Linked DNA regions of Anolis sagrei. The protein of the gene in region 2 interacts with the protein of the main gene of each other region in a pairwise test. Links are inferred from orthologs where the notes say so. Each region holds a gene or a part of one and is shown on either strand. Other genes may lie near its edges. The genes, in order: CDKN2D, NR4A1 and PRDX4.

What was found.
Region 1: the proteins of NR4A1 (region 2) and CDKN2D interact in binary tests that used the Homo sapiens proteins (3 or more experiments, as listed by UniProt). The two-hybrid records come from large-scale screens. The link is inferred for Anolis sagrei from reciprocal best matches to the Homo sapiens genes NR4A1 and CDKN2D.
Region 3: the proteins of NR4A1 (region 2) and PRDX4 interact in a two-hybrid assay, tested with the Homo sapiens proteins (2 studies listed by BioGRID and IntAct). The link is inferred for Anolis sagrei from reciprocal best matches to the Homo sapiens genes NR4A1 and PRDX4.

What each region holds. Positions count from the first base shown.
Region 1 is NC_090022.1:169,538,113-169,548,663, forward strand, and holds the start of CDKN2D (cyclin-dependent kinase 4 inhibitor D), read left to right. Parts: upstream 1-5,980; 5' UTR 5,981-6,247; intron 6,248-6,390; 5' UTR 6,391-6,414; coding exon 6,415-6,561; intron 6,562-10,551. Other genes in the region: AP1M2 (AP-1 complex subunit mu-2), read left to right, coding at 69-91. UniProt on the Homo sapiens protein: Interacts strongly with CDK4 and CDK6 and inhibits them.
Region 2 is NC_090022.1:139,196,789-139,206,848, reverse strand, and holds the start of NR4A1 (nuclear receptor subfamily 4immunitygroup A member 1), read left to right. Parts: upstream 1-6,118; 5' UTR 6,119-6,220; intron 6,221-10,060. UniProt on the Homo sapiens protein: Orphan nuclear receptor. Binds the NGFI-B response element (NBRE) 5'-AAAGGTCA-3'. Binds 9-cis-retinoic acid outside of its ligand-binding (NR LBD) domain.
Region 3 is NC_090023.1:86,841,106-86,851,502, forward strand, and holds the start of PRDX4 (peroxiredoxin-4), read right to left. Parts: upstream 4,621-10,397; 5' UTR 4,535-4,620; coding exon 4,312-4,534; intron 1-4,311. UniProt on the Homo sapiens protein: Thiol-specific peroxidase that catalyzes the reduction of hydrogen peroxide and organic hydroperoxides to water and alcohols, respectively.

The DNA.
Region 1 (10,551 bases), about 30 Mb from region 2:
GGCTTATGGGAGCGCCAATGTAAAGGTTATCCTGGGTTTTTTATATTCTGTATCTTTTTATGTTCCAGATTACCAGCTCCGGACCCATTAGTCGCATGCCTCTGCAGCGTCAGGATCCAGCCTTATCCAAACTGAAGGGATTGGGATGCCTAGGGAAACCTTTTAATTTTGGCTCTGTTTGTGTGTGTATTTGTGTGTATGCACCCTTCTTATCTTATAATGCCACCCCATTCCCCCTCTTGAAAGATTTTGGGTTGTTGTTACCAAGCTCCTTCTCTCCCCCCCCCCCCCCGTGTCCCCCTCCCCCCACTCAGTTCCCCATTTGTAATGTGAGAATTGCAGCTGACTACCTCTTGTTACAAAGACGAGTGACAAAAAGTTACTACTTCCCTGTGCCTTTAGACCGCAATGAGCTATAAATGTAAGAGGAATAAATTAATACTTTTAAATGAGGGGTGTGTGTCATTGGTCTACATGGAGTCCCGTCCCCACTCCCCATTGGCTTTTCTGCTTAAACCTGGCTCTAAAGGCAAGACATGGCACGGGTGACTTTGGCTCCTGTGCTGCCCAGTTCTCACAATAGCCAAACTGGTTGCTTCCCATGTTTTCTTAACTAGCCTCGATGAGTAACATCAAAACTGGCAGCATCTGGTCTGTTCTGCAAATTCGGGAGTAGCCTCCAAGATGTGCAGGAGAGCCTCTCCCGTACAGACACTATTCCACATCCAAGATATTTATTTATCATGTCAGGAGTAAACCAAACAGTTGTATTGCATTTTTAACAAACAAACAAACAAAACACAAAGTTTGCAAGCTTGGTAGTTGATTAAATGTCCTTTGACCAGTAGCTGGCCACTTGGAGTGTCTCTCTACAAGAAGGTCCTCCATTGTGCATAGAGCAGGGCTCAGGTTGCATTGCAGCAGGTGGTCTGTAGTTTGCTCTTCTCCACACTCGCATGTCATGGATTCCACTTTGTAGCCCCATTTCTTAAGGTTGTCTCTGCATCTTGTGGTGCCAGAGCGCAGTCTGTTCAGCGCCTTCCAAGTCGCCCAGTTTTCTGTGTGCCCAGGAGGGGAGTCTCTCATTTGGTATCAGCCATTGGTTGAGGCTCTGGGTTTGGGCCTGCCACTTTTGGACTCTCGCTTGCTGAGTGCCTCTGTAGATCTTGCTTGCTGAGTGTCTCTGTGTTCCAGCGAGTGTCTCTGTAGATCTTAGAAAACTATTTCTTGATTTAAATCGTTGACATGCTGGCTGATACCCAAACAGGGGATGAGCTGGAGATATCACTGCCTTGGTCCTTTCACTATTTGCTGCTACTTCCCGGCGGATATCAGGCGGTGCAATACCGGTTAGAAACGACCAGAAGCTACATCCAAGATGAAGGGTTAGAAGGCATGATCATCAAATTTGCAGACGACACCAAATTGGGAGGGAGAGCCAATACTCCAGAAGAGAGGAGCAGAATTCAAAACAATCTTGACAGATTAGAGAGATGGGCCAAAACTAACAAAATGAAGTTCAACAGGGACAAATGCAAGATACTCCACTTAGGCAGAAAAAAATGAAATGCAAAGATACAGAAAGGGGGGCACATGGCTCAAGAACAGTACTTGTGAAAAAGATCTTGGAGCCCTCGTGGACAAGTTAAACATGAGCCAACAATGTCATGCAATGGCAAAAAAAAAAAAAAAAAAAAGCCAATGGGATTTTGGCCTGCATCAATAGGAGCATAGTATCTAGATCCAGGAAAGTCATGCTACCCCTCTATTCTGCCTTGGTTAGACCACAACTGGAATAATATCATAATACATGCTAAAACATTTAAACAGCATAAAACACAACAAAGACAATAAAAACAACACCATTAGCATCTCCTTATTATCAAGCATTGTCCAGTTCCATTGTCAAGTCATCAGATTTCTTATGTCAGTTACCTATATCTGTTACTCTGCATTTGTAAACGCTTGCTCAAATAGCCATGTTTTAATTTGCTTCCGAAATGTTAAGAAGGAAGGAGCAGATATGATCTCTCTAGAGAGGGCGTTCCATAGCCGAGAGGCCGCCACTGAGAAGGCTCTGTCTCTCATTCCCGCGAGACGTACTTGTGACGAAGGCGGGACCGAGAACAGGACCTCCCCGGATGATCTCAAGGTCCTCGATGGTTCATAAGGGGAGATGCGTTTGGACAGGTTTAAATTATTCTGGATCATTTTACGCTAATTCAGATATGACCCCAAATTTCTTATATAACGTTTAGTATGGGAGTCAATTTTACTCTTGATCTTTTATAAATAATATTCCAATATCCCAAATGTCTTTCATCTCAAAAGCTGCCCATGAAAGAGAAAAAAATGTGGAATCAGTATGAAAAATCAGTGTGTGAATCTCTCATTCAGATGGCAAATCAAACATTGAAACCAGCCACTACATACCTGGTAGCAATGCTTGGAACACAAAACAACTATTAGGGAGACTGTAAATCACATAGTTGGCCTTGTGTCTTTTTGATTTCAAAATACATTTTAAATTTGAGTTTTCGCGGAACAGACTTTAGGAACGGTGTCCCCCCCACCCCACATGATACAACATTCCTGCAAGGAGCTGATTTTAACAGGAGGAGGAGGAGGAAGAGGAAGAAGAAGAAGAAGAAGAAGAAGAGGAGGAGGAGGAGGGGGGAGGGGGAGGGGGAGGAGGAGGAAGAAGAAGAAGAGGGGAAGAGGAGGAGGAGGTGGAGGAAGAAGAAGAGGAGGAGGAGGAGGAGGAGGAAGTGGAGGAGGAGGAGGAAGAAGAAGAAGAAGAGGAGGAGGAAGTGGAGGAGGAGGAGGAAGAAGAAGAAGAAGAGGAGGAGGAGGAGGAGGAAGTGGAGGAGGAGGAGGAGGAGGAAGAAGAAGAAGAAGAAGAAGAGGAGGAGGAGGAAGTGGAAGAGGAGGAAGAAGAAGAAGAAGAGGAGGAGGAGGAGGAGGAGGAGGAGGAAGTGGAGGAGGAGGAGGAGGAAGAAGAAGAAGAAGAGGAGGAGGAGGAGGAAGTGGAGGAGGAGGAGGAGGAGGAAGAAGAAGAAGAAGAAGAAGAGGAGGAGGAGGAGGAGGAGGAAGTGGAGGAGGAGGAGAAAGAAGAAGAGGAAGAAGAAGAAGAAGAAGAGGAGGAGGAGGAGGAGGAGGAGGAAGAGGAAGAAGAAGAAGAACAACAACAACAACAAGGTCATTAATAACACACATACACACACCACCAAACACCAATATGATGCCAAAGTAAACTGCAGTAACAAGGTGAGAGGAGAGGTCACTGTATTCTCAAGAGATCTAAGTTGGTAACTGCCTTAAAGTCGACTTCAACTTCTGGTGACCCCATGAGTGACCCTTAAGTCACCCCATCCTCAACAGCCCTGCTAGGAGCCCCCAGTGGCGCAGTAGGTTAAACCCTTGTTCTGGCAGGACTGCTGACCGAAAGGTTGGTGGTTTGAATCTGGGGAGCAGGGTGAGCTCCTGTATTCAGCTCTAGCTTCCCATGCAGGGACATGAGAGACGTCTCCCACAGGATGGTAAAACATCCAGGCGTCCCTTGCAGATGGCTAATTCTCTTACACCAGAAATGACTTGCGATTTCTCAAGTCACTCCTGACATGGAAAAAAAAACAGCCCTGCTGAGATTTTGTAGTTATAGTGTTCCTTGGTTGAGTTTCTCCATCTGGAATGCGGTCTCCTCCTCCTCCTCCTCTTGTTTTGCTAAGCATTATTGCTCGCCAGATGTCCCACATGTTATGGGATTCCCGTGACACATATCATCCTAAGTGATGTGTTCAGCTGCATAGGAACCCAGCAGGACAGCGACCTCTGAATGCAGAAGTGGAAGTGCCATCTGCAAGGCTTCCAAAGGGAGGCAAAAGTCAGGCCTTGAGGGATGGGCGCTGCTGTACACACACATCCAATGGGCCAGATCCTTGTAGTGGTACCATTCTTTGGGGACAGGAGTTTCTGAATCGCAGTGTGGTCAATTATGGTAACTGGAAAGATCTGGAGCGGGGAAGCTAACCAGAAGTCCAAAAAACAATACAGATTTAATTAATCCAAGTCGCCTATCCCTGGCCCCCTCTACACTGCCACACAAAATCCATATTATCTGCTTTGAATATTAGGCCCTTTTTACACAGCCCTTCTATCCCAGGATCTGATCCCAGATTATCTTCTTATCTCAATATGGCAGTGGAGACTTCAAAGCCGGTAGCCTGCTGTTGCAGTGGGTTAAACCACTGAGCTGCTAAGCTTGTTGACTGAAAGCTTGCAGGTTCGAATCCGGGGAGCGGTGTGAGCTTCCACTGTCAGCCCTAGCTTTTGCCAACCTAGCAGTTCGAAAACATGCAAATTTGAGTATTATAGAATCATAGAATCAAAGAGTTGGAAGAGACCTCCTGGGCCATCCAGTCCAACCCCCTGCCAAGAAGCAGGAATATTGCATTCAAATCACCCCTGACAGATGGCCATCCAGCCTCTGTTTAAAAGCTTCCAAAGAATGAGCCTTCACCACACTCCGGGGCAGAGAGTTCCACTGCTGAACGGCTCTCACAGTCAGGAAGTTCTTCCTCATGTTCAGATGGAATCTCCTCTCTTGTAGTTTGAAGCCATTGTTCTGCGTCCTAGTCTCCAAGGAAGCAGAAAACAAGCTTGCTCCCTCCTCCCTGTGGCTTCCCCTCACATATTTATACTTGGCTATCTTATCTCCTCTCAGCCTTCTCTTCTTCAGGCTAATCATGCCCAGCTCCTTAAGCCGCTCCTCATAGGGCTTGTTCTCCAGACCCTTGATCATTTTAGTCACCCTCCTCTGGACACATTCCAGGTTGGTGGAGGCTCCTTCTTTGAAAGCTTTTAACAGAGGCTGGATGGCCATCTGTCAGGGGTGCTTTGAATGCAATATTCCTGCTTCTTGGCAGGGAATTGGACTGGATGGCCCATGAGGTCTCTTCCAACTGATTATTTAGACAAGCTTTGCTCTGAAAGAACTGGGTGGATACGTTAAATTCTATGTCCCCATATGATTCTATGTCCCTGCACGTGGAGCTGGAGCTGACAGAGCGAGCTCACCCGCGCTCTCCCCGGATTTGAACCTGTGTGGTCTTTAGTCCTGCCGGCACAAGGCTTTAACCCACTGCACCACGGGGGGCTCCTTGGAATGTGTCCAGAGGAGGGCGACTAAAATGATCAAGAGTCTGGAGAACAAGCCCTATGAGGAGTGGCTTAAAGAGCTGGGCATGTTTACCCTGAAGAAGAGAAGGCCGAGAGGAGACTAGGACGCAAAACAATGGCTTCAAACTACAAGAAAGGAAAAACTTCCTGACTGTGAGAGCCGTTCAGCAGTGGAACTCTCTGCTCCGGAGTGTGGTGGAGGCTCCTTCTTTGGAAGCTTTTAAATAGAGGCGGGATGGCCATCTGTCAGGGGTGATTTGAGTGCAACATTCCTGCTTCTTGGCAGGGGGTTGGACTGGATGGCTCATGAGGTCTCTTCCAACTCTATGATTCTATAATTATCTGATTGTCTGCCTTGATATCCCGGGTTATATGTCTGTGTGGAAGGGCCCTGAGTCTTCAATGCCAGATTATTTGGGATTGTAGGGATAGATCCGACCTGGGAGCTGGCTTCAGTCCTTTGCTCCTTCACATCCAGGGCGAGCTATTTTAAGAAAGTCACTCCCGCCCCCTCCCTTTTTCTCCTCAGGTCGTGACCCCTCGGCGGAGTGGAGCGAGGGAGGGAGAGGGGGGAAAGCCAGGAGCGCGCCTCTTCCCGCCCGAACCTGCGTTTGAATCGCGGAGGCCCGCCCAGCCGTCCGCCTGGGGAGAGCCAATCAGGAAGCGGGAAGCGCCGGCTTCTGCCCGGAGCCGCTCCCTCATTGGCGGCGCGCGGGGGAAAGGGGCGTGTCCAGGGGGCAAGTTACAATGTCTCCCACGTCGAGGGGAGGAGCGAGACGGGAGGGGGCAAAACAACAAACAGCGCTTGGGCACGTGTGGGCGGGGCCATGAGGAAGGAGAGGGGACAGAGAGAGAGAGGGAAGGCAGAAGGGAAGGAGAGGCAGCCCTGCCGGCCGCTTGCCCTCCTAACGCCTCGCCTCGGAGAAGCCCCGCCCTGAGCCGGGCGAGCCCCTTCTTTGCGCCGCCCTGCCCTGCCCTGCCTGCCCGGCATTCCCGTCCGCCGCCTGCCAGCCAGCGCGATTCCTGCCTCGTCTCCGTTTGACAGCGCTGCCAAGGAGGGAGCTCGGAGGTAGGCGCCCAGGAAGGGGAGGGCAGGGCAGGGCAGGGGATCTGCAGAGGGCCGCCTCCCCCCTCCTCCTCTCCCTCCCTCCCGCAGTGCTTGGGGATGCTGCGTGCCCAGCCGGGTCTCATCCCTCCTTTCTCTGCCTCCAGGCGCCTCGGCCTCTCCCGTGGGGGATGCAGCCGGGCGGCGCCGAGGTCCGCGCCGGGGACCGCCTCACCAGCGCTGCCGCCCGAGGAGACCCCCAGGAAGTGCGCCGCCTTCTCCGGGAGGAGCTCCTCCGGCCGGACGCCCGAAACCGCTTCGGAAAGACCGCGCTGCAGGTACGCACTCCAGCCTTCCCACACCTGTCAGGATTTAGTATTCTTATTCTTATTCTTATTATTAAAGGGTTAAAGCCTCACAGGTTCGAATCCGGGGAGAGCGCGGGTGAGCTCCCTCTGTCAGCTCCAGCTCCCCATTGCGGGGACATAGAATCTAATGTACCCACCCAGTTCTTGTGGGTTAAAGCCTTCAGCCGGCAGGACTGAAGACCCACAGGTCACAGGTTTGAATCCAGGGAGAGCGCGGGTGAGCTCCCTATGTCAGGTCCAGCTCCCCATTGCAGGGACATAGAATCTAATGTACCCACCCAGTTCTTGTGGGTTAAAGCCTTCAGCCGGCAGGACTGAAGACCCACAGGTCACAGGTTCGAATCCGGGGAGAGCGCGGGTGAGCTCCCTCTATCAGCTCCAGCTCCTCATGCGGGGACATGAGAGAAGCCTCCTACAAGGATGATAAAAAATCCGGGGAGAGCGCAGGTGAGCTCCCTCTGTCAGCTCCAGCTCCCCATTGCAGGGACGTGGAATCTAATGTATCCACCCAGTTCTTGTGAGTTAAAGCTTTGTGCCGGCAGGACTGAAGACCCCACAGGTCACAGGTTCGAATCCGGGGAGAGGGCGGGTGAGTTCCCTCTGTCAGCTCCAGCTCCCCATTGTGGGGACATTGAATCTAATGCATCCACCCAGTTCTTGTGGGTTAAAGCCTTGTGCCGGCAGGGCTGAAGACCCACAAGTCACAGGTTCGAATCTGGGGAGAGCGCAGGTGAGCTCCCTCTATCAGCTCCAGCTCCTCATGCGGGGACATGAGAGATGCCTCCCACAAGGACGATAAAAAACAAGCTAGTTACTAATAAATGGTTGTCTTGACTGAGTCACACACTCAGCCTCAGAGAGCCCCCGGTGGCGCAATGGGTTAAACCCCTGTGCCGGCAGGACTGAAGACCGACAGGTCGCAGGTTCAAATCCTGGGAGAGCGCGGGCGAGCTCCCTCTGTCAGCTCCAGCTCCCCATGGCGGGGACATAGAATCGAATGTATCCACCCACTTCTTGTGGGTTAAAGCCTTGTGCCGGCAGGACCAAAGTCCCCACAGGTCACAGGTTTGAATCCGGGGAGAGCACAAAGTGAGCTCCCTCTGTCAGCTCCAGCTCTCCATTGCGGGGACATAGAATCTAATGTATCCACCCAGTTCTTGTGGGTTGAAGCCTTGTGCCGGCAGGATTGAAGACCCACAGGTTGGAATCAGGGGAGAGCGCGGGCGAGCTCCCTCTGTCAGCTCTAGCTTCCCATGCGGAGACATAGAATCATATGGGGACATAGAATCGAATGTATCCACCCAGTTCTTTCAGCTTGTCTAAATAATCAGAGAATCCTAGAGTTGGAAGAGGCCTCCTGGGCCATCCAGTCCAACCCCATTCTGCCAAGAAGCAGGAAATTTGTATTCAAAGCACCCCCGGCAGATGCCCATCCAGCCTCTGTTTGAAAGCTTCCAAAGAAGGAGCCTCCGCCACACTCCAGGGCAGAGAGTTCCACTGCTGAACAGCTCCCACAGTCAGAAAGTTTTTCCTTTCTTATAGTTTGAAGCCATTGTTCTTCATCCTAGTCTCCTCTCAGCCTTCTCTTCTTCAGGCTAAACATGCCCAGCTCTTTAAGCCACTCCTCATAGGGCTTGTTCTCCAGACTCTTGATCATTTTAGTCGCCCTCCTCTGGACACATTCCAAGGAGCCCCCGGTGGCGCAGTGGGTTAAAGCCTTGTGCCAGCAAGACTGAAGATGCACAGGTCAGAGGTTTGATTCCAGGGAGAACGCGGATGAGCTCCCTCTGTCAGCTCCAGCTGTACCGCCTGTGTATGTAACCACCCTATCCAAGAAATCATGTTGGACATCAGTTCAGCTGCCATGGCTCAATGCAATGGAAGAATTAAATATGCAGTTTTACAAGGAGTTTAGACTTGGACTGCTTCCTCACCAAACTACAAATCACAGAATTCAACAGTATTGAGCCCTGGCAGTTCAAAGTGGTGTCAAACTGTATTCATTTCACACTCTAGACTAGGGGTCCGCAAACTGACTTGTGGGCCAGATGTGGCTCTTCAAGATCCTTTACCTAGGGTCACCCAAAGCGACTTGAAGACACACAACAACAATCCTAATTAATTTGACTCTCTCATTAACCAAAAAGAGCTCCCGATGGTGCAATGGGTTAACGCCTTGTGCCGGCAGAACTGCTGACCAACAGGTCAGAGGTTCAAATAAAATCACACATTTTGTGCTTTGAACTGGAATATAGGGCAGTGTGGACTCAGATAACCCAGTTCAGAGCAGAGATTGTGGGATTTTTCTGCCTTGTTATTCTAGGTTATATCTCTGTGTGAAAGGGCCCTGAGTCCACACTGCCATATAACCCAGTTCAATGTGGATTTTATAAAACCATGTGGAAGGGGCCAAAGCCATCTATATAAATAAAAATGTAATGTTAGTTTGTGGGATTAACATAACTCAAAAACCACTGGACAAATAGACACAAAATTTGGACGCAATACACCTAACAGTCCAACAAGTGTCCATCAACCCAAAACACACACACACACATAAAACCCCAGCAGAACAGACTTAAAAACCCGCAAAATATATCATATATACATATACAAATACACTCATGTACACATGCACACATTCATACACACACACATATATATGCACAAACACACACAAATATACATATATACACATGCACACATACATGCACACTTACATATATTCATATACATGTACATACACATATATACACACAAATATTCATATAGACAAATACACGCATATACACAATATGCATGTAAACATTCATACACACACGTATATATATGCACAAACACACACAAATATACACACATACATATACATACACACATATATAATACACATGCACACACAAATATACATATATACACATGCACACATACATATATACAGATACACATGCACACACAAATATACATATATACACATGAACACATACATATATACATATACACATACACATATATACACACAAATATTCATATAGACAAGTACACACATATACACCATATGCATGTAAACATATAAATACACATATATACACAAATATATACACACACATATACACACACAAAACACATATACACAGATGACCACAGCAACACGTGGCAGGGGATGGCTAGCAGAAAAGACTTAGAAAGACAAAAACCAGAAATTACATTACAACGCATGCACAAAACCACATATATACACATATACACAAATATTTTATTTTGTTGTTGTTGTTGTTATTATTATTATTACATTTATTATTTTATTATTGTTGTCATTATTACATTTATTTTACTCTATTTATTATTGTTAATGTTACATTTATTATTTTACTGTATTGTTATTATTATATTTATTATTTTGCTCTATTATTACTGTTATTATTACATTCCATTATTTTACTCTATTATTATTATTATTATTTTACTCTATTTTTTATTATTGGAGGACCTGTAAGCATATTCACTTTGAAAAAGGTTAGAATAATGGTTTAATTAGAGTTGGACAGTCTTATCTTGAATTACAGTTTTATGTAAATATTCAAAAACATTTAACCTAACGATGCCTAAATTAATATAATGTTATTGGTATCTATTTTTATTTTGAAATTGACCAGTAGCTGCTGCATTTCCCACCCTTGGCTTATACTCGAGTCAATACATTTTCCCAGTTTTTTGTGGTAAAATTAGGTGCCTCGGCTTATATTCGGGTCGGCTTATACTCGAGTATATACGGTATATTATTATTATTATTATTATTATTATTATTATTATTATTTTCATTGGATCATAGAATCATAGAATCAAAGAGTTGGAAGAGACCTCATGGGCCATCCAGTCCAACCCCCTGCCAAGAAGCAGGAATATTTCATTCAAATCACCCCTGACAGATGGCCATCCAGCCTCTGCTTAAAAGCTTCCAAA
Region 2 (10,060 bases):
CAGCCTACTGGCTGTTAGGGAGGCTAAGGATCTTCCTTTTAACGATTTGTCTTAGAGCCTTTCCACATTGCCATATAACCAGATTATCTGCTTTGATCTGGATTATATGGCAGTGTAGACTCATATAATCCAGTTTAAAGTAGATGTAAATTATATGCTTTGATAATGTGGACTATATGGAAGTGTAAAAGGGGTCACAATTTCCCCTATTGTAGGGACAGCTAATGCTTGATTTTCACTCCTTGTAAAAAGAAATATAGTACAATCACTTCTCCACGTTCACTGGGATAAGCGGCACGGGACCCTTGTGAAAGTGAAAAACCATGAATAAAGAAATTGCTATTTTTATTATAGGCAGCTCTGGTGGCGTACAGGGTTAAAGCACTGAGCTGCTGAACTTGCTGACCAAAGGGTCGCAGGTTCAAATCCGGGGAGCGCCATGAGCTCCCACTGTTAGCCCCAGCTTCTGCCAACCTAACAGTTTGAAAACATGCAAATGTGAGTAGATCAATAGGTACCATTCTGGCAAGAAGGTAACAGTGCTCCAAGACGTCATGCTGGCCACATGACCTTGGAGGTGTCTAAGGACAATGCTGGCTCTTCGGCTTAGAAATGGAAATGAGCAGCAACCCCCATAGTCAGATTTTTTTTTTGTCATGTCAGGAGCAAGTCGCTTCTGGTGTGAGAAAATTGGCCATCTGCAAGGACATCGCCCAGGGGATGCCTGGATGATTTGATGTTTTTATCATCCTTGTGGGAGGCTTCTCTCATGTCCCCGCATGAGGAGCTGGAGCTGATAGAGGGAGCTCATCCACCTCTCCCCGGATTCGAACCTGCGACCTGTCGGTCTTCAGTCCTGCCGGCACAGGGGTTTAACCCACTGCGCCACCGGGGGCTCCCCCATAGTCAGATACAACTGGACTTAATGTCAGGGGAAAACCTTTACCTTTATTGTTATTATAGGAGATAACACCTCTCTACGAATTACTAGGTCTTGCAGCATACTATGGCCAATTTTCACTGGAAGCTAAATATGCAATTGCACTGGGGGACCTAGAAATTTCTAGCGAGATGAAATCTCTAGACCGTCCAGCATGACTGGAGGAAATTGACTACAGAGTCACATTGGAGGACTTAATAATCTTAGAGAGAACATTTGTCATCACAAGTTGATAATCACATCTGCAAAAGTCAAAACCACAAATGTGGAGGGATGACTGCAATGCCATTGCAGGGATCTATTTCTAAACGAACATCCTCTGGAAGGTGCAAGACACAACTCCCATCTTTATGTGAGCAGTTATGTGATCCCTTTTGATGGAGGTCAGAAAAGGGGGAGGGAAGAGATATGTTGGCCCACATAGCTTTAATATTTGCATTACAAAGGGATTTTACTCACTTTAAGCTTCATGTGCAAAAATGCAATCTTTGTAAAACTGCAGACGTTTGGAACAAGCCTGGATTTGGGAGATTAGTGCAAAATAAGAATCTCGTGATCTTGGAAGGTCGCCGCCAGTCCTCCTCTTGGCTGGGTCCACTCTCAGAGCCCTTCCACACAGCCATATCACCCAGAATATCAAGGCAGAATAAACCACAATATCTGCTTTGAACTGGAATATCTGAGTCCACACTTCCATATATCCCAGTTCAAAGCAGATAATGTGGAGTTTTATTCAGCTGTGTGGAAAGGGCTTCAGAAAAAACACATAAGATAATAACCTCTCTTTCCCAACAGTCACTAGAGTATATTTAAAGGCACAGGTGGCAGTCCTGCCCATATTTTTCCCCATCCAACCAGCCGCTCTTACCTCTGTTTACTAAGGGTGTATCTACACTACGGAATTAATGCAGTTTGACACCACTTGAACTGCCATGCCTGGGATCTGTGGATTGGTAAATTACCAACACTCTTTGGCAGAGAAGGCTAAAGAACTTGTCAGAATACAACTCCTAGGCCCTTTCCACACAATAAAATAAATAAAATCCCACATTATCTGCTTTGAACTGGAATATATGGCAGTGTGGACTCAGATAACCCAGATCAAAAAGGATATTATGCGATTTTCTGCCTTAATATTCTGGGTTATATGGCTGTGTGTGTGGAAGGAACCAAAGCACTGAGTCATGGCAAAGTGGTGTCACGCTGCATTAATTCTACAGTGTAGATGCACTGGGGGGGGGGGGATACTAGATTGAGTTTAATGGCATTCAAAACAGCAGCCTCACAACACAATCCCAGTACCTTTACAGAGAAGTAGAATAGCAGTAGTGTACCATATGTCTTAAGTGCTTAATGGTCAACATTATACACAGTTTTTTGGAAGGAAGCCCAGTTGGACTCACTGAGATTAATGACACATTGGACTGTACTTCCTGTCTGCATTAAAAATACTTTTCAACCTGCGTTTCCTATACTCAGAGATAAGCCTCGCAGCACTGAATGCCACTGACTCCCAAGCGCGGGGGGGGGGGGGGGGGTTTGAGGTTTGCAGCCATGTACTTTTGGGGTGTGTGTGCTATAATCATAATAATATACTTTATTTATATTACACTCTATCTCCCCGAGAGGACTCAGAGTAGATTACAGTACACATATACGGAAAACATTCAGTGCCATTATACAATTAACACAGACAGACAGGACATAAACAGAGGTAAAGGCTTCCCATTTTTTTCCATCTCCAGCATCTGGAGGCTGTGCTTGACACCGGCCATGGGAGGTGCTGTTGCTCCATCTTCCATTCTGAGGAGCTTTGTTGTCTTTAGACGCTCTCCCAATTGAACTGCTGGCATGTCCGCATGGCGTCATTTATTACCTCCCCGCCAAAGCGGTACCTATTTATCTACTCACATTACTGTTTTTGAACTGCTAGGTGAGTGGAAGCTGGGCTGATGGTTGGGAGCTCTCCCTAACCCAAGCTTGAAGAAGTCCAGGAGGTCACAACCGGCAAGATTTTCTGTGGCTGGTGGTTTAACCCGCTGTGCTAAAGCCCAGGTTGTTGTTGCATGCCTTCCAGTCGTTTTCAACCAATGGTGACCCCATCATATTATTCTGTGTTTGTATATTTTAATATATATTTTATAGAAATACAATTTAATATATATCTTTTATAGAAATATATCTTAATGTGTGTGTGTGTGTTTATGTGTTTTGGAGCCCCTGGTGGTGTAGCGGGTTAAACCATGAGCTGCCAAACCTACTGGTGAAAGGTCCGCGTTTCGAATCCGCGGAGCAAGGGGAGCTCCTATTGTTAGCCCCAACTTCTGCCAACCTAGCAGTTTGAAAACATGCAAATGTGAGTAGATCAATAGGTAGCACTTCTGTGGGAAGGTAACAGCGCTTCATGCAGTCATGCCAGCCACATGACCTTGGAGGTGTCTATGGACAATGCTGGTTCTTCGGCTTAGAAATGGAGATGAGCATCAACCCCCAGAGTCAGAAACAACTAGACTTAATGTCAAGGGGAAACATTTACTTAACTTTTATGTGTTTTAATTATGCTGTAACTGCCTCGAGCCACAAGGAGAGGCGGGTAAGGAATTAAATTATTATTATCATCATCATCATAGGGGTTTCTTTGCAATATGTGCTCAGAGGAAGTTTGCCCTTGCCTTCCTCTGAGGCTGTGGGTCCTTCCAGATAGGTCCTTTATCCCAGGATCTGATCCCACATTTTTTGTTTATCCCAGATGATCTAGCAGTGTGGACTCATATAATCCAGTTTAAAACAGAAAACCTGGGATCAGATCCTGCGATATAGGGCCTGTCTGGAAGGGCCCTGAGAGAGAGAGAAACCACTTCTGAATATTGCTCTCCCAAGAAAACCCTATCAAAACTCAGTGGACAATAGGCAGCAAGTACTGGCTGCATCTACAGAAGGCATGGGCCAACTTCGGCCCTCCAGGTGTTTTGGACTCCAACAATTCCATACAGCCTATGATCTACAGTGTAAATGAATGCAGTTTGATACCACTTTAACTTGCAATGGCTCAGTATGTCAGATCCTGAGAGTTATTTATTTATTTATTTATTTATTTGCGACATTTATATGCCGCCCTTCTCAACCTGAAAGGGACTCAGAGCAGCTTATAAGATATATATACATTTTGTTGTTGTTCATTTGTTCAGTCGTCTCTGACTCTTCGTGACCTCATGGACCAGCCCACGCCAGTGCTCCCTGTCGGCCGTCACCAACCCCAGCTCCTTCAAGGTCAGTCCAGTCACTTCAAGGATGCCATCCATCCATCTTGCCCTTGGTCGGCCCCTCTTCCTTTTGCCTTCCACTTTCCCCAGCATAATTGTCTTCTCTAGGCTTTGCTGTCTCCTCATGATGTGGCCAAAGTACTTCATCTTGGCCTCTAGTATCCTTCCCTCCAGTGAGCAGTCGGGCTTTATTTCCTGGAGGATGGACTGGTTGGATCTTCTCTCAGTCCAAGGCACTCGCAGAACTTTCCTCCAACACCACAGCTCAAAAGCATCGATCTTCCTTCGCTCAGCCTTCCCTAAGGTCCAGCTCTCACATCCGTAGGTGACTACAGGGAATACCATGGCTTTGACTAGGCGGATCTTTGTTGCCAGTCTGATGTCTCTACTCTTTACTATTTTATCGAGACTGGACATTGCTCTCCTCCCAAGAAGTAAGCGTCTTCTGATTTCCTGGCCACAGTCTGTGTCTGCAGTAATCTTTGCACCTAGAAATACAAAGTCTGTCATGGCCTCCACATTTTCTTCCTCTATTTTCCAGTTGTCAATCAGAGTTGTTGCCATAATATACAATAGTATATTATTAGCATAGTACAGTATCAATATTATAAGGTAAAGGTAGTCCCCTGACATTAAGTCCAGTCATGTCTGTTCCTAGGCAAGACTTCTTTTAACACAGACTTTGGTACCAGAGGTAGACATAACATGGAAAGAACATGCTATATTTTAGCTGTATTTTAATACTCTCTACTATTTTATGACTGTGAGCCATCTTTAAGGTTCAAAAGGCATGTCACAAACCTCTTACATAGGTAAAGGTAAAGGTAGTCCCCTGACATTAAGTCCAGTCATGTCTGACTCTGGGGTGTGGTGCTCATCTCCATTTCTAAACCGAAGAGCCACCATTGTCCGTAGACACCTCCAAGGTCATGTGGCCAGCATGACTGCATGGAGCGCCGTTACCTTCCCCCCGGAGCGGTACCTATTGATCTACTCACATTTGCATGTTTTCGAACTGCTAGGTTGGCACAAGCTAGGGCTGACAGCGGAAGCTCACGCCGCTCCTCAGAATCGAACCTGCGACCTTTCGATCAACAAGCTCAGTAGCTCAGTGCTTTAACCCACTGCGCCACCCTATTATATATATTACTAATATATATAATATTATATATTATATATATAATATTATATATTACTAATATTGTACTACACCATTATATTGTAAATATTACATGTAATATAAAATATACAATTATAACATTGTATTAGTAGTAGTAGTGTTATATTGTATTCCATTATAATATTACCAATATTATATGTATATACAATATATTATATTATATTTTTAGTAAAGCACAGGAGACAAGATGGAACAAGTTGTCGTTTGCTGTCTCTCCAAATCGTTGCAATCCATAGCACTGAGCCTTGGCAGTGGAAGTGGGGTCAAACTGCATTCATTCCACAATGTAGATGCACTTACTGGCACGAGGGGATAGAAGGCACTTACCTTTTGTGATGGGCCATAAGAGAGGGGGGGGGGGGAGGGAGGGAAGGGGTTGGGTCCCTCTTAAAGGCGCCCCTTCCCTTTCCTCCACGCTTTCGCAGGAGGGAGGGGGCGAGGCCTCGGCTTCCGCTCGCCACAAGCCCGAAATAGGCTCGCCCGGCTCTGGCTGGATGGAGGCGGGGGCGGAGAGCCTCGCGCTTATTCCGCCGGGCGCGCGCCTGCCTATTTTTAGCCCCCATTGATGGCTGGGATTCCGACGACGTCAATGGAGCTCGGCGTTGACGTCACGGAGGCTGCTGGCCGGGCCCGGGAGAAAAGGGGCGGGGCTTGCGGGAAAGCACTCACTAAAGCGGCCGGCAAGGAGCGCGCGCTTGCAAAGAGCGCTGAGAGAGCAGCCGCAGAGGGAAGGATATCCACGAAGAGAGAGAGTGAGAGAGAAAGCGAGTAGCCACCGCGGGGGACGGGTCCCCGATGGCGCCCAGGCAGAGACGGAGCACCTCCAGCGCCCAACAGGTGAGCGCCATCCCCTGTTTTGATTGGCTAACCTTCCAAGGAATGAATGCAGTTTGACACCTCTGTAATTGCCACCACTCAATGATCTGGAATCCTGAGAGTTGTTAACTTGTAGAGGCACCAATATTCTTTGGCAGAGAAAGTTGGGAAACTACAAGTCCCAAGACCTATATAGTATTTAGCCATGGCAGTTCAAGTGCTCTCGGGTGGATCAAATCTGCAGTGTAGATGCAAGCCTTACTCTTCGGGACTTGAAGCCTTTAGCAGAGAAAGTTAAAGACCTTGGGAAACTACAATTCCCAAGACTGTATGGTATTGAACCATTACAGTTCAAGTGCTGTAAGGCTGGATTCAATCAACAGTGTAGATGCAAGCCTTACTCTTTAGGACTTGAAGGCAGAGTTTTTCTTTGACAGAGAAGGTTAAAGACCTTGGAAACTACAAATCCCAAGACTATATACTATTGAACCATGACAGTTCAAGTACTGTCAGGCTGGATCAAATCTGCAGTGTAGATGCAAGTTTTACTTTTTTGGGACTTGAAGCCAATTTTTCCATTTGGCAGAGAATGTTAGAGACCTTAGGAAACTACAAGTCCCAAGGCTGTATAGTATTGAACCATGGCAATTCAAGTGCTGTCAGGCTGGATCAAATCTACAGTGTTAGATGCAAGCTTTAATCATTGGGACTTGAAGCCAGTGCTTCCCTTTGGTAGAGAAAGTTAAAAACCTTGGGAAACGGCAAGTCCCAAGACTGTATAGTATTGAACTATGGGAGTTAAAGTGCTGTCAGGCTGGATCAGATCTACAGTGTAGATGCAAGCCTTACTTTTTCTGGGACTTGAAGCCAGTGTTTCTCTTTAGCAGAGAAGGTTAAAGACCTTGGGAAACTACAAATCCCAAAACTGCATAGTATTGAACCATGGCCACTCAAGTGCTTTCAGGCTGCAGATCAAGCCTTACTGTTTGTAACTTGAAGCCAGTGTTTCCCTTTAGCAGAGTTTTCTTGGGAAACTACAAGTCCCAAGACTGTATGTATAAATTTATTATTATTTATTAATGTATGATCTTTCTATCCCACCTTTCTCCATCCCAGATTTGACTCAAAGCAACTTTACACATAGGTGACTATTTGATGTCTTGAAACAATGGACAATTAAAATAAACTTTTAAAAATAGAATTATAAAACACATTAAGACAATTAAAAACATTTAAAACACTACAATAAACCCCTAAGAATTCATAATTTTGATTTTCTTTGTTTCTGTCTCCAGCTCCCATCTAAATAGTTTATAATGAGAGGGGGAATTAGCATTATTTTTCCAAACACCTAATCATTAAAAACAGTTAGACATGAGTTGCATATGAAATGGCGAACACAGGTGTTTATTAACATGTATCATAGCCATCATATAATGCAAACAGGTTTGCCAGTGTTCCGGTGGAATAGTATCTTAGTCCTTCTCCTCTCCATATGCTAAAGTGCATCTTCAAAACAATGTGAAGTTCTTTAAAGGAGAGGAGGGTGGAGGCTGTTTTTATTTCTTTAGGGAGGGAGTTCCAGAGACAGGGAGTGATCACAAAGAAGGTCCCCTCTCTCGTTCCCACCAACAGAGCTTGATTCAGGGGTGGGACCAAGAGCAGGGCCTCCTCCACTGACAGCAGTTCACAGGATGGTCTGTATAGGGAGATATGATTGGACAAATAGCCTGGACCCAAACCGTTTAGGGCTTTATAGGTAAATGGTGAGATTTGGGGGTGCACATAGTATCCCCTCCTTTACTAGATTCTATTGGCTTGTCTGTTGAATAAACATGCAGGACTAGGATCTGTGTTGGTTGGGAGTTGATCTCTCTCAACTACGGGAAAAGACTGGTGCTTTCTGCTATACCAGGCATGGGCAAACTTTGGCCCTCTGGGTGTTTTGGACTTCAACTCCCATAATTCCTAACAGCTGTTGAAGTCCAAAACACCTGGAGGGCTGAAGTTTGCCCATGCCTGCCCTAAACAGACATTAGACCTCTTCTAGGCGGTTATCCCTTTCTGTCTGGAATTTGCAAAGCCCAAGATGTTTTTAAAAAATATATTGGAAGAGTTTTCCAATCTAAATAGTTGAAAATGTTTTGCCTCCCACTCCTGTGTACAAATGGAAATGTTCAAGTACAGCTGGTTTTGTTCCTCTTCCATCAGAATTGTTCCTTGCGCCTGCCTTGGCATCAGGTAAAAATTGACCCATGTCTGGATGTTTTCCAAAGGTGGAAGCTGTGTGCCTCGGTTGGACCTGAAACAAGTGTTGCGGTTGACAGATTTCACACAGCACAATGTTTTGTGGAATATGATATGCCTCCTCAGATTCTCTGAATATTAATTGAAGCAAAGATGTGCAAGCTGTGGGTCACATGATAATCTATGAAGACTTTCGCATTTTGATCTTTCCCAGCTAAAAAACATACCAGATCACCACAAAAAAATCCCCCCTTAGGAACCATCTGTATTTGGACCGATTTTCAGAATCATAAAGGAGGTATCATTTTCAGTCATGTTGGGACTTGAGTCACCATATGGCTTCCATCCCTTCCACAGTTTCCCTCCTAGGATCTAGATCAGTGGTTCTCAACCTGTGGGTCCCCAGGTGTTTTGCCCTACAACTCCCAGAAATCCCAGCCCGTTTACCAGCTGTTAAGATTTCTGGGAGTTTAAGGCCAAAACATCTGGGGACCCACAGGTTGAGAACCACTGATCTAGAGCTTTGAGTATGATGCACACCCCACACACCTGTAAATATGCACCCACACACCCACATGTGCATACATGGCCAGAAGTCGGAAGTTGGAATTTAAGACCAAAGTGAATTTATATACATAATATACTGACAATAACAATTACATCTGTATTAACATTGCCCCTTCCCAGTATTGCATTCCCTAGACCTGTATTCCCTAGAACCCAGTATTGCATTCCCTAGAACCCAGTATTGCATTCCCTAGAACCCTATTGCATTCCCTAGAATCCCTAGAACCCAGTATTGCATTCCCTAGACCCAGTATTGCATTCCCTAGACCTGTTGCATTCCCTAGACCTGTTGCTGTAGGCAGATAGTTGTGTCAGTGTGCAAAGATCAACATATCTGTTCACTGTATTCACCATGTCATGGGTTTATCTCAAGGAGCTAAATGGCACAAAGGCCCTAAATACTGTCCTATCATGGAAGCTAAGCAGGGTCAGCCCTGCTTGGTACTTGGATGGGCAATCTTCAATGAATACTAGGTGTTGCAGGTTATATTTAAGTGGAGGGAGCTGACAAAGCCACCACTGAATAATCCTTCCTTGCCTAACAGAATCTATGAAATCTCCATAAGTCAACAGGACAGCTGAAGGCACACACACACACCTGTATTTACACTTACTACTTTCCCCTCTCTCTGATGTATTTCCATGTGGCATAAAAACAAATCCCTAGACGACCCAAACTGTGTTGGTTGGCTTAAACCATCACTTGTTCAACCTGGCCTTCTGTCAGCTCAGAAGTAAATCTCACTAGATTTTAAAGAACTTGCTCTCAAATAAATATGCGTAGTGATTGGCATGCCAAAATAATCTTAAGGGGTTTTGTTTTTGTTTTGTACCTTCCAAGTTATTTCTGACAAATGGTGCTCCTATCTAATGCTGTCTTGGAAACATCTGTTCAATTGAGGTTTGCTTTTGCCTTCCTGAGGCTGACGGAGAGTGACTTGCTCAGGACAACTCAGTGGATTTCCATGGCTGATCGGGGATTCGGATCCTTGTTTCTGGAGTGATATTCCATCTCCCAAAACACTACACCATGCTGTCTTTTGGAAA
Region 3 (10,397 bases), on a different chromosome or scaffold from region 2:
CTCCCAAATGACAAAAATCAATCCCCCCTAACCCCACCAATATTCAAATTTGCGCTTATCGGGTATTTGTGCCAAATTTAGTCCAGTGAATGAAAATACATCCGGCATATCAGATATTTACATTACGATTCATAACAGTAGCAAAATTACTTATGAAGTAGCAACAAAAATAATTTTATGGTTGTGGGTCACCACAATATGAGGAACTGTTTTAAGGGGTCGCAACATTAGGAAGGTTGAGAAACACTGCCCGAAGGTGAAACTATCACAGAAAATGTGTATATCTTCATAGCACAACTAATTGGAATATATTGTTAGAAATATATTTGTGCAGTGCTGTCCTATATATGCTTATTAAGAAGTAAGGCACATTGAGTTCAAGGGAATTGCATTATTAGTGCAACATGCTTAGTGAATTAGTCTATGTGTATTTGGTACAGTGGCAGCTTATGAATGGATCTGTTCTGTATCTGCCCTTTTAAATTATTTTCTAAAAGTCCTCCAATATCTAATGGTTGGTTACCACATAAAATGAATCTTGAAGCAGTTTACAGTGGAAATTGATAGCTTTTGTCTATGGTCTAATAATGTAGACACTCAAAAAAGGATCTATCAAGCAGACATTTCTATTGCTAATTTTGCCACTTCCTCAACCAAATTATTCTTGGCAGCAACTGATGTTCTTTGCATTGCTTTCCCTAGCAATTTTTACAAACTAAAAATATAGTGCCATTGCTCCTCAAAAGACAGTAAGTTTCTAGAAACAGTAGCGTATATTCATTCGTTGTAGTAATAAGTAGCACAAGATGTATTTTGTCCACTTCAAAATGCCTTCTTAGGCCAACACATTTCCTAGTCACGAAAAGAAATGTTTCCCGTCCAGTATCTGAACAAGCTCTGTCTCCCCGCTCTGCACTTTCAAACTAGTCAGCTTTGCATGACGTGTCCTTTTCCAAAAGTTCTTATCAACGTAGGCAAAGAAAGCAAATACTTGGAACAAAGATGGAGCTGCTACTGGTCATTTCCACCCCGCTATGGCTAGAGGAGGGGGGGGGGGGGAGAAGGGCTTTTTAATGCTTGCTTTTTCAGACAGATGAACCTTTTTGGCTTTTCTCTGCAGCTCTTTTTAAAAAGGGGAACTCACAAAGCCACATACGAATAGCCTGTGGTGATGTATACAAAACAGATTTGTGGTGACATAAAATGCCTCTGGGTATTGCCTAAGAAAATCCTGTGGAATTCATGGGGCCACCAAAAGCAGAGAGACATCATGAAGGCACACACAAAAGAAGGCAGGACAATTTCTGTCACAAGAGATCTGTCTGTTAGTCATTTCAGTCTCTGTGCAAGCCTGTATTTTTTGCAATTGAGCAACGCAAGCATCATCTCTTGGAATCAAAAGAACAAGTTTGAACACCCTGATTTTCTTGCCTCCTCAGAATGTCTCCAAAAACCTGAGTAGGGACACGTCTGCATATCTCTATTTCCAGAGGTTTTTCCACTCATTTTCTCCTGCCCAGCAAAGGAACAAAACCGATAGTCTGAAGGTGCATCTACACTGTCAAACGAATGCAGTTTGATACCCCTTTAACTGCTCTGTACTGTGGCATTCTGGGATTGTAATTTGGTGCTCAGGTCTGCTCTTTGGCAGACCTTGTAAAACTACAAACCCTATGATTCAATAGCACTGGGCCATGGAAGTTAAAGCGGTGTCATTCGGTATGAAATGGACAGTGAAGATGCACCCTGAGTTGTGTGAGAACTCATTACTCCTGTGTGGGCCAAAAGTCACAAAAGGGTCCCAATATTACAGAACTCATTTATGCTGTGTTTTCATATTCACAATACCATTTGAAAGACACCTTTGAAAGAAGGAATTCTAAAAGGTTTAAATTGTATTATTTTAGCTCTGTTAGCCACTTTGAATCCCCCTCAGAAGATGAAAGCATGATATAAATAATTATAATTATAATTTTGGGCCCACCCTGTATTGATGCTGAGTTTTGAGAGGGCCTATTGCTATTAATACCAGCACAAGTGCCCAGTACTAATACTGAGTTGTGAGAGGACTTAACGGCTATTTGTGAGAGGGCTTTGCTATTAGTACTAATAAAAGGGCCCAGTATTACTACTAAGTTCTGTGAGGATGCGGTACTGTTTCATTATCTGGAACACAAGGGTCCAACATTAATACTGAGTTGTGAGAGGACTTATTGCTATTAATGCTAACACAAGAGTACAGTATTAATATTGCATTGTGAAAGGACTAAGTGCTATTAATACTAACACAAGGACTCAGTATTAATACTGCGTTGTGAGAGGACTAAATGCTGGCTGAATCTACACTGCTCTATATCCCAGGATCCGATCTCAAATTATCTGCTTATCCCAGACTATCTGGCAGTGTAGATTTATGTAATTCAGTTCAAAGCAGATAATATGAGATCAGATCTTATAGAGCAGTGTAGACCCAGCTGCTATGAATGCTAACACAAGGGCTCTCAGCATTAATGCTGAGTTGTGAGGGGACTTATGGCTATTTGTGACAGGGTTTTGCTATTAATACTGACACAAGGGCCCAGTATTAATACTGAGTTCTGTGAGAACTTATTGCTATTAATACTGACACAACGGCCCAGTATTAATACTGAGTTGTGAGAGGACTTAACACTATGGATACTCCCCTTCAATACTAACATAAGGGCTTAGTATTGAGATGTGAGAAGACTTAATGCTATTAATGCTAGCACAAGGGCTCAGTATTAATACTGAGTTGAGGACTAAATTCTATTAAAACTAGCACAAGGACCTAACATTAATCCTGAGTTGTGAAAGGACTAAATGCTATTAGTACTAGCACAAGAGCTCAGTATTGATACTGAGTTGAGAGAGAACCAAATGCAATTAATATGAACACAAGGGCTCAGTATTGATACAGAGTTGAGAGAGCACCAAATGCTATTAATATGAACACAAGGGCTCAGTATTGATACTGAGTTGAGAGAGGGCTTTGCTACTAGTACTAACACAAGGGCTCAGTATTGATACTGAGTTGAGAGAGGGCTTTGCTACTAGTACTAACACAAGGGCTCAGTATTGATACTGAGTTGGGGGGAGAGCTTTGCTATTAGTACTAGTACAAGGGCTCAGTATTGATACTGAGTTGAGAGAGGACTAAATGCTATTAATACGAACACAAGGGCTCAGTTATGATACTGAGTTGGGGGGAGGGCTTTGCTATTAATACGAACACAAGGGCTCAGTATTGATACTGAGTTGTGAGAGGACTAAATGCTATTAGTACTAATTAAATGCTATTAGTATTAATACTGGGATGTGAGAAGACCTCTTGCTATTAGTAGTAGCACAAGGGCCCAGTATTAATACTGAGTTGTGAGGGTTTTTGCTATTAATGCTAACACAAGAGCTCAGTATTGATACTGAGTTGAGAGAGGGCTTTGCTATTAACACTAACACAAGGGCCTAGTATTGATTCTGAGTTGAGAGAGGACTAAATGCTATTAATACTAGAACAAGGGCCTAGTATGGATACTGAGAGAGGACTGAATGCTATTAATACTACAAGGGCCTAGTATTGATACTGAGTTGGGAGAGGGCTTTGCTATTAATACTAACAGAAGGGCCTAGTATTGATACTGAGTTGAGAGATGGCTTTGCTATTAATACAAGGGCCTAGTATTGATACTGAGTTGGGAGAGGGCTTTGCTATTAATACTAACAGAAGGGCCTAGTATTGATACTGAGTTGAGAGATGGCTTTGCTATTAATACAAGGGCCTAGTATTGATACTGAGTTGGGAGAGGGCTTTGCTATTAATACTAACAGAAGGGCCTAGTATTGATACTGAGTTGAGAGATGGCTTTGCTATTAATACTAATAGAAGGGCCTAGTATTGATACTGAGTTGGGAGAGGGCTTTGCTATTAATACTAACAGAAGGGCCTAGTATTGATACTGAGTTGAGAGATGGCTTTGCTATTAATACTAATAGAAGGGCCTAGTATTGATACTGAGTTGGGAGAGGGCTTTGCTATTAATACTAACAGAAGGGCCTAGTATTGATACTGATTTGGGAGAGGACTAAATGCTATTAATACTACAAGGGCCTAGTATTGATACTGAGTTGGGAGAAGACTCATTACTGCTAGCACAAAAGGGAAGCACCGAATCAGCCACAAATGAGGAAAAGCGTGAGGGGGGGCGGGCGAGGAGGGGTTTAGGCGGGAAGAGGCCCAGCTGGCTCTCCTTCCCTTCGCCTCCCCCCCCCCGCGGGGTCTCCATGGCAACCTACTCTTGGCCTTGCTGAGGTGCAGCGAGTGGTCCGTGACATGGGCCCTGCCCGCCTCGCCCGGGTACACCTCTCCCCCGGCGTAGTAGTGGCACTTCTCGTCGCCCCAGCCCTCCGCTTCATCCGGCGCCGAGATCATGGCCAGCAGCAGCACCAAAGACAGCCGGAAGACAGCCGTTAACGGTCGCCCCCGGGCCGCGGGGCCGTCGCTCGCTCGAGGCTCCATGGTTGCCTCGGGAATGGATCGCGCCGCACGGGAAAGAAGGCAGCTGCAGGCCCCGCGCGGGAGGAGGAGGAGGAGGCGGAGGGGGAGGGGGAGGGGGAGGAGGAGGAGGAGGCCGCCCAGGCTGGGGGCGGAACCCAGGACCGTCCCCCTGAGGGAGGGAGGGAGGGAGGGAGGAGGAGGGACGCAGAGGCCTCGCCCTCCGCCCCCTCCTCCTCCTCCTCCGCCCCTCACGTTTCGCTCCTGCCTTCATTATTATTTCTGAGTTCTGCCCCTTTTTTGACCCTGTGAGGGTCGAGTGTTCCACTGGTCCTGTGGTGACCCTCTTTCAGGTTCAATTATGTATACCTCAGATGTTTAAGGCTAGACGTGTTTGGGATTTCGGTTTTGGAATAATTGCAGTACACCACCTATGGGCAAAGTTGGGTCCTCCCTCCAGGTGTTTTGGACTCCAACTCCCACCATTCCTCGTAGCCTCAGTCCCCTTCCTTTTATTTTATTTATTTTATTTATTTCAGTTACTTCTACCCCGCCCTTCTCACCCCCGAGGGGGGACTCAGGGTGGCTTACAAAAAAGGCACAATTCGATGCCTGTGTCAAATATACATACATACTTAAAAGCAATTAAACAGTTAAAAGGTTAAAATCATCAGTATATAACACAATAGTAAACAATCTCATGCTCAGTGTTCAGAGTTCCATAAATCCATTCCGTTCGGTCAATTCCTGCCCATCATCGAGGTGTTTCCTTAAGCTGCCAGAATGTCCAAAAGCCTGGTCCCACATCCAGGTCTTCAATTTTTTTCTGAATGAGAAAAGGGAAGTCGCTGATCTAATCTCCCCGGGGAGTGAGTTCCACAGGTGAGGGGCCATTACTGAGAAGGCCCTGCTCCTCGTCCCCGCCAGCCTCACTTGTGATAGAGGCGGGGTTGAGAGCAGGGCCTCCCCAGAAGATCTTAGACTCTGAGGTGGGATGTAGAGGGAGATCCGTTCGGACAGATACACTGAGCCGGAACCGTATAGGGTTTTGTAGGTCAAAACCAGCACTTTGAATTGTGCTCGGAATTGGATCGGCAGACAGTGGAGCTGACACAACAGGGGGGTGGTATGCTCCCTGTATGACGCTCCGGTGAGCAATCTGGTTGCCTCCCGCTGGACTAGTTGGAGTTTCTGAGCAGTCTTCAAAGGCAACCCCACGTAGAGTGCGTTGCAGTAACCCAATCAGGATGTAACAAGAGCGTGGACCACCGTGGCCAGATCCGACTTCCCAAGGTACGGGCGCAACTGGCGCACAAGTTTTAATTGTGCAAAAGCTCTCCCGGCCACCACCAAGACCTGGGGTTCCAGGCTCAGCGATGAGTCCAGGATCACTCCCAAGCTGCGAACCTGCGTCTTCAGGGGGAGTGTAACCCCGTCTAACACAGGCTGTAATCCTATGCCCTGTTCGGCCTTACGACTGACCAGTTGGACCTCTGTCTTGTCTGGATTCAGTTTCAATTTGCTAGCTCTCATCCAGTCCGACACAGCAGCCAAACACCGGTTCAAGGTCTGGACAGCCTCCTTGGTGACAGGTGGAAAGGAGTGACAGATTTGGACATCATCTGCGTAGAGATAACATCTCATTCTGAAACTCCAGATGATTTTTCCCCCTCAGCTGCTTAAGGGTTTTGGGGGGGGGGGGGATGAGTTTCGGGGGGGGGGGGGGCTGAGTCTAAGAGGGTCTACCCTAGCAAACCTTTTGTATCATTACCTCAATACCCCCATGCATATGGGATATATTGAGTATGGTGATCAGATCATGATATGAATAAACATAACAGTTTAAATAATGTACCAGTAAGGCCTTTTCATAGACCACCATGAGAATTTCGGGGGGGGGGGGGTGTGTGTTAAGCCCCAACCCCCCCTCCCCCCCCCCCCCCCACCTACATGCCTGCCTCAAAGACAAGGCAACAATGCTTTGCAGGAGTCTTAACTTTCTATCCACTTTCTATCATTTTTCCCTGTCCTGTTCCTATATGTATCAAATACATATTAAATGTATCAGCTATATGATTTCTGCAAAAGTAAACCACAGGAGTCTTCACTTTCCTGCTGACCCCACTGAGGGATTTCCCGGACAGAAGGAGTTCCCCAGCTGCCCCAGACCAAGGTGACAGTCGGTACCCACTGTGTGAACATGTGAATCAACAGATGGTTTCTGCTCTTGATCTGATAAGCACCAGTTGATATTTGTTCAACCAAATGTCCCACTTGAGCTCAGAGATCACTAACCATAAAGACAAAGACTCACAATATATACCCAAGTCTGGACCCTGTTGCAAAAATCACCATCCTTTGTTTCAGGGATCCTGGACATTTGACTATCACAACCCCATCTTTATCACCCAAAGCTGGACTATTATGATAGAAGCCCCCTAAGTCCTCCTGATATGATCACAGGAACTTCCTGGGGCTATCTCCTCCCAGAAGGTCTTTTAGTCTTTAAAGCAGCAAAAATAAGCTTATTTCCTCCTGAAAATGTGATCCTTTCAAATGTTTAAAATAGCTAGCATACCCTCTCTCAACCTTCTCTTCTTCAAGTTAAACATACCCTGCTCCTTAAGCTACTTCTCCCAGAGCTTAGCTTTGACATTTTTGTTTCCCTTCTCTGGATACATTCTAGCTTGTCAATATCCTTCTTGAATTGTGGTGCCCTAAACTGGACACAGTATTTCAGGTGACGCCTGACCAATGCAAAGACTGGGACTGTTTTCTCAATCTAGACAATAGTGTATAGTTCTTGTTTTTGTTTTTGTTTTAAATTAATTTGCTGAGATCTAAATAATTTGCAACATTGTCACAATTGCATATACACAACAACATAGTATTATTTTTACCCCATATAACACAGTCTATTGATTACATTCTATCCTTTACAGATCTATACATCTATTACTTATCTCTATCCACCTTTCTTCCTCCCACCTCCCTCTGGGAACAGTTATGACTCTATTCATTGGTTTACATTGTTTGTTCGGTCATGGAGATTATTTGGTTCATTTTATTGTCCTTTCTCTTTCTCTCTGGCTATAAGCTCTTTCCACTTCAACTCCCAGTCCTCCTTTGGATGACCATTCATTTACTTTGTTCTCCTTTCAGTTATGTAATCTTGGAACATATACTCTGATAAATATTCAAGCCATTTTAAAATTTCCCACTTGCCTTCATCTTTTCATCCTAAGGCAACTGTTGCTTGGGTACTATAGTACTTGTGAAGCATTCTAAAATAACACTGGCCTTTTAAAACTGCTGTATCACACTGCTGATTCATGTTAAGCTTGTGGTCTACTAAGACCCTAGATCGCTTCTATTGTAGTGCTGTCAAGCTAGCTTTCACCCATTCTTTTTTCTGTGCATTTCATTTTTTTTCCTGCCTAATGTAGTACCTTATCACTCTTTATTGAGCTTACATGATGAAATTGTGCCTGTATGAGGACCAGGACTTGGATGATTTAGTACATAGTGATATAACGATAATACTGTTACTTGTGTGCCAAAAATAAATTTGCATACATAAATGCCTACACTGATGTTTAAGGAAGATAGGAATAGTTTGATTGCTCACCTATATTACTCTTTAAAATAATTTGAAAAGTTGATCTATTCCATTACTAGCTCTTATGTGTTAGAGCCATATGGTACTGTACTTGCTAGCATATGGTAAAGCAGCAAGATTTTTAGTGCCACATGACTGGTCCTTAAATTCCATCTAGCAAAAGTTGTTGCTTGAGCTCTAACAGAGGACAGCATTACATCTTTCCTGAATTTTAATGAATAAAATATGTTATTGTCAAAGGAGGGCTTGGTTATGCATTTTTCTTTATTATGTTGTTGCTGTCAGTGCTTCTTTGGTCCTGACATCCTCCTGGGCCTTTCTGAAGATAACATTTATTTTGTTGTTTCCAGACTTGAATCTCATTTAGTTCTCCTTCATCTCAATCATAAATCTGCATGTGGTAATCTCCTGGCTTATTCTCATAGAGTTTTCCTTCATCTTTATCATAAGTCTACATGTGGCAATCTCCTTGTTTACAAAGCACCTGTATCAGCTCCTCAGTTCAGCATCATTTGATTATCACATTCTCAAGCTAGCTTTCTTAATAGCCACAAATATTAGAGCAAGTGAAATGTGTACCTTAGAGTGGAACAGCCATATCTTACCTGACACACAGAAAAGGTAGTGCCTAGGCCTATCTTAGATTGTGTTGGTTTTCCGCCTAGCTTGTTAGGTAATTCTTCTGTTGTATTTCTTTGGCACTTCTTGATGTCCACAGGGCATTGGCCCTCTATACTGACTGAATCGTACCTTTCCATGCCACCCAGCTGTTGTTTGTCTGCCACGAGCAAAAGGAAGGCCAGCCCTTGTTGGCCAACCCATACAAATATTTGCCAAGTAGATTGAAAAAAAAAGTAATATGTTAGTCTCCAGAAAGCTAGCTAAGTTGGAACTTCCTGTATTTCTCCATCATCACTCTTTGAGAGACATTGCTGCTTTGACCATCTTTTAAAGAAGTGCCAGAGCTTTGTTGAGGGAGGATTACTTGGATTCAGTCCTACACTTTAATTCAGATAACAGAGTTTGTTGAAGGACTCTTATTCATTGAGACACCATATGTCAAAGCCAACTTGACAGCAAGTAACATCAAAACTACTTTGATGCTTATGCTGAAGCAAATGAGACATTTGGAAGATCCATACTACCATCAGTTTCTTCTCTAATGTATCTCTCGTCTGTCTCATGTGATAAATTTGCTAATTGGTGTTCACATGTGTGATGCATTGGGACCACAAGAAGAAAGACCATTCAATCACTCTATTACAAGCAGTCAGAAAAACGGTGGTAGTGAGGATTGAATGCACAAAGGGGGCCAGTGGTATTATTTATACAGCTGATAGTACCTAGTTTTGCTTATACAGTTCTTGCTGTTAGATTCATTGCGTCACATGATGATACCAGGCTGGCTTAGTGGTATAGGGCAGACTTTTGCTCCCTGCAACCTGTCATCTGAGGCCTGAGGTGGTCACCTTACTTTGTTTGTCAATAAGACTAGCTCTGGCATATTTTCATTGGCAGTGTCAGAAGCAATCCATCTTAAAATACTAGAAACATTGTGTAAGGGGCAAGGATTTCCCACTTTCACACCTAGGAACATACAGTCATTGGACAAGCTTAGCTAAAGCAAGGCAAAAGTTTTAATAGCAGATGCTCCATAAATGCAAGTTATCTATCCATGTGAATGTCTATGGAGTTTTTGAATAAATTGGAATTGTTTTCAGAAGCAACTACTGTGTTATCCCAAGGTAGTTAATGTTTCAATAGGTGGCAGTGTTCTCTTATTTTTATATTTAGATGGTAGATTTTAGAATAAACAAAAACTGAGATAATAGACAAAACAAAACAAAAAAACCCCCACCAAAACTGGATTGTTTGTCTATGGGAGGCTGTTTTGAAGATTGGAAATTATAGCTGATTCAGAATACCGCTGCTGTTGTCCAATTGAATAATTGGCTCAATTGCCATTTAATCTACACTGATTTCTGGTGTAAACTCTCCCATTAAGAAGGAAGTGCTTGTTGCTTTTTTTTTTTAAGCTTTAGATGATTTTTGTGGGGCTGGGTTATCTGAAGGACTCCCTGCCTGTTAAAAGTGGCTGGGGAAGATCTATTCATCTTGCTGCCATATGCTTGCTGAGAATGATAGAACATAGCTTCTTAATGGGAGAGTTTAAGCTCTAGAACTTCCTTGAGACTTCTGAAAGATAGTCAAGACATGTTTTTATGTTGTGCTGCTCACAGAATTTTGTTTTCTGATTACAAAACATTG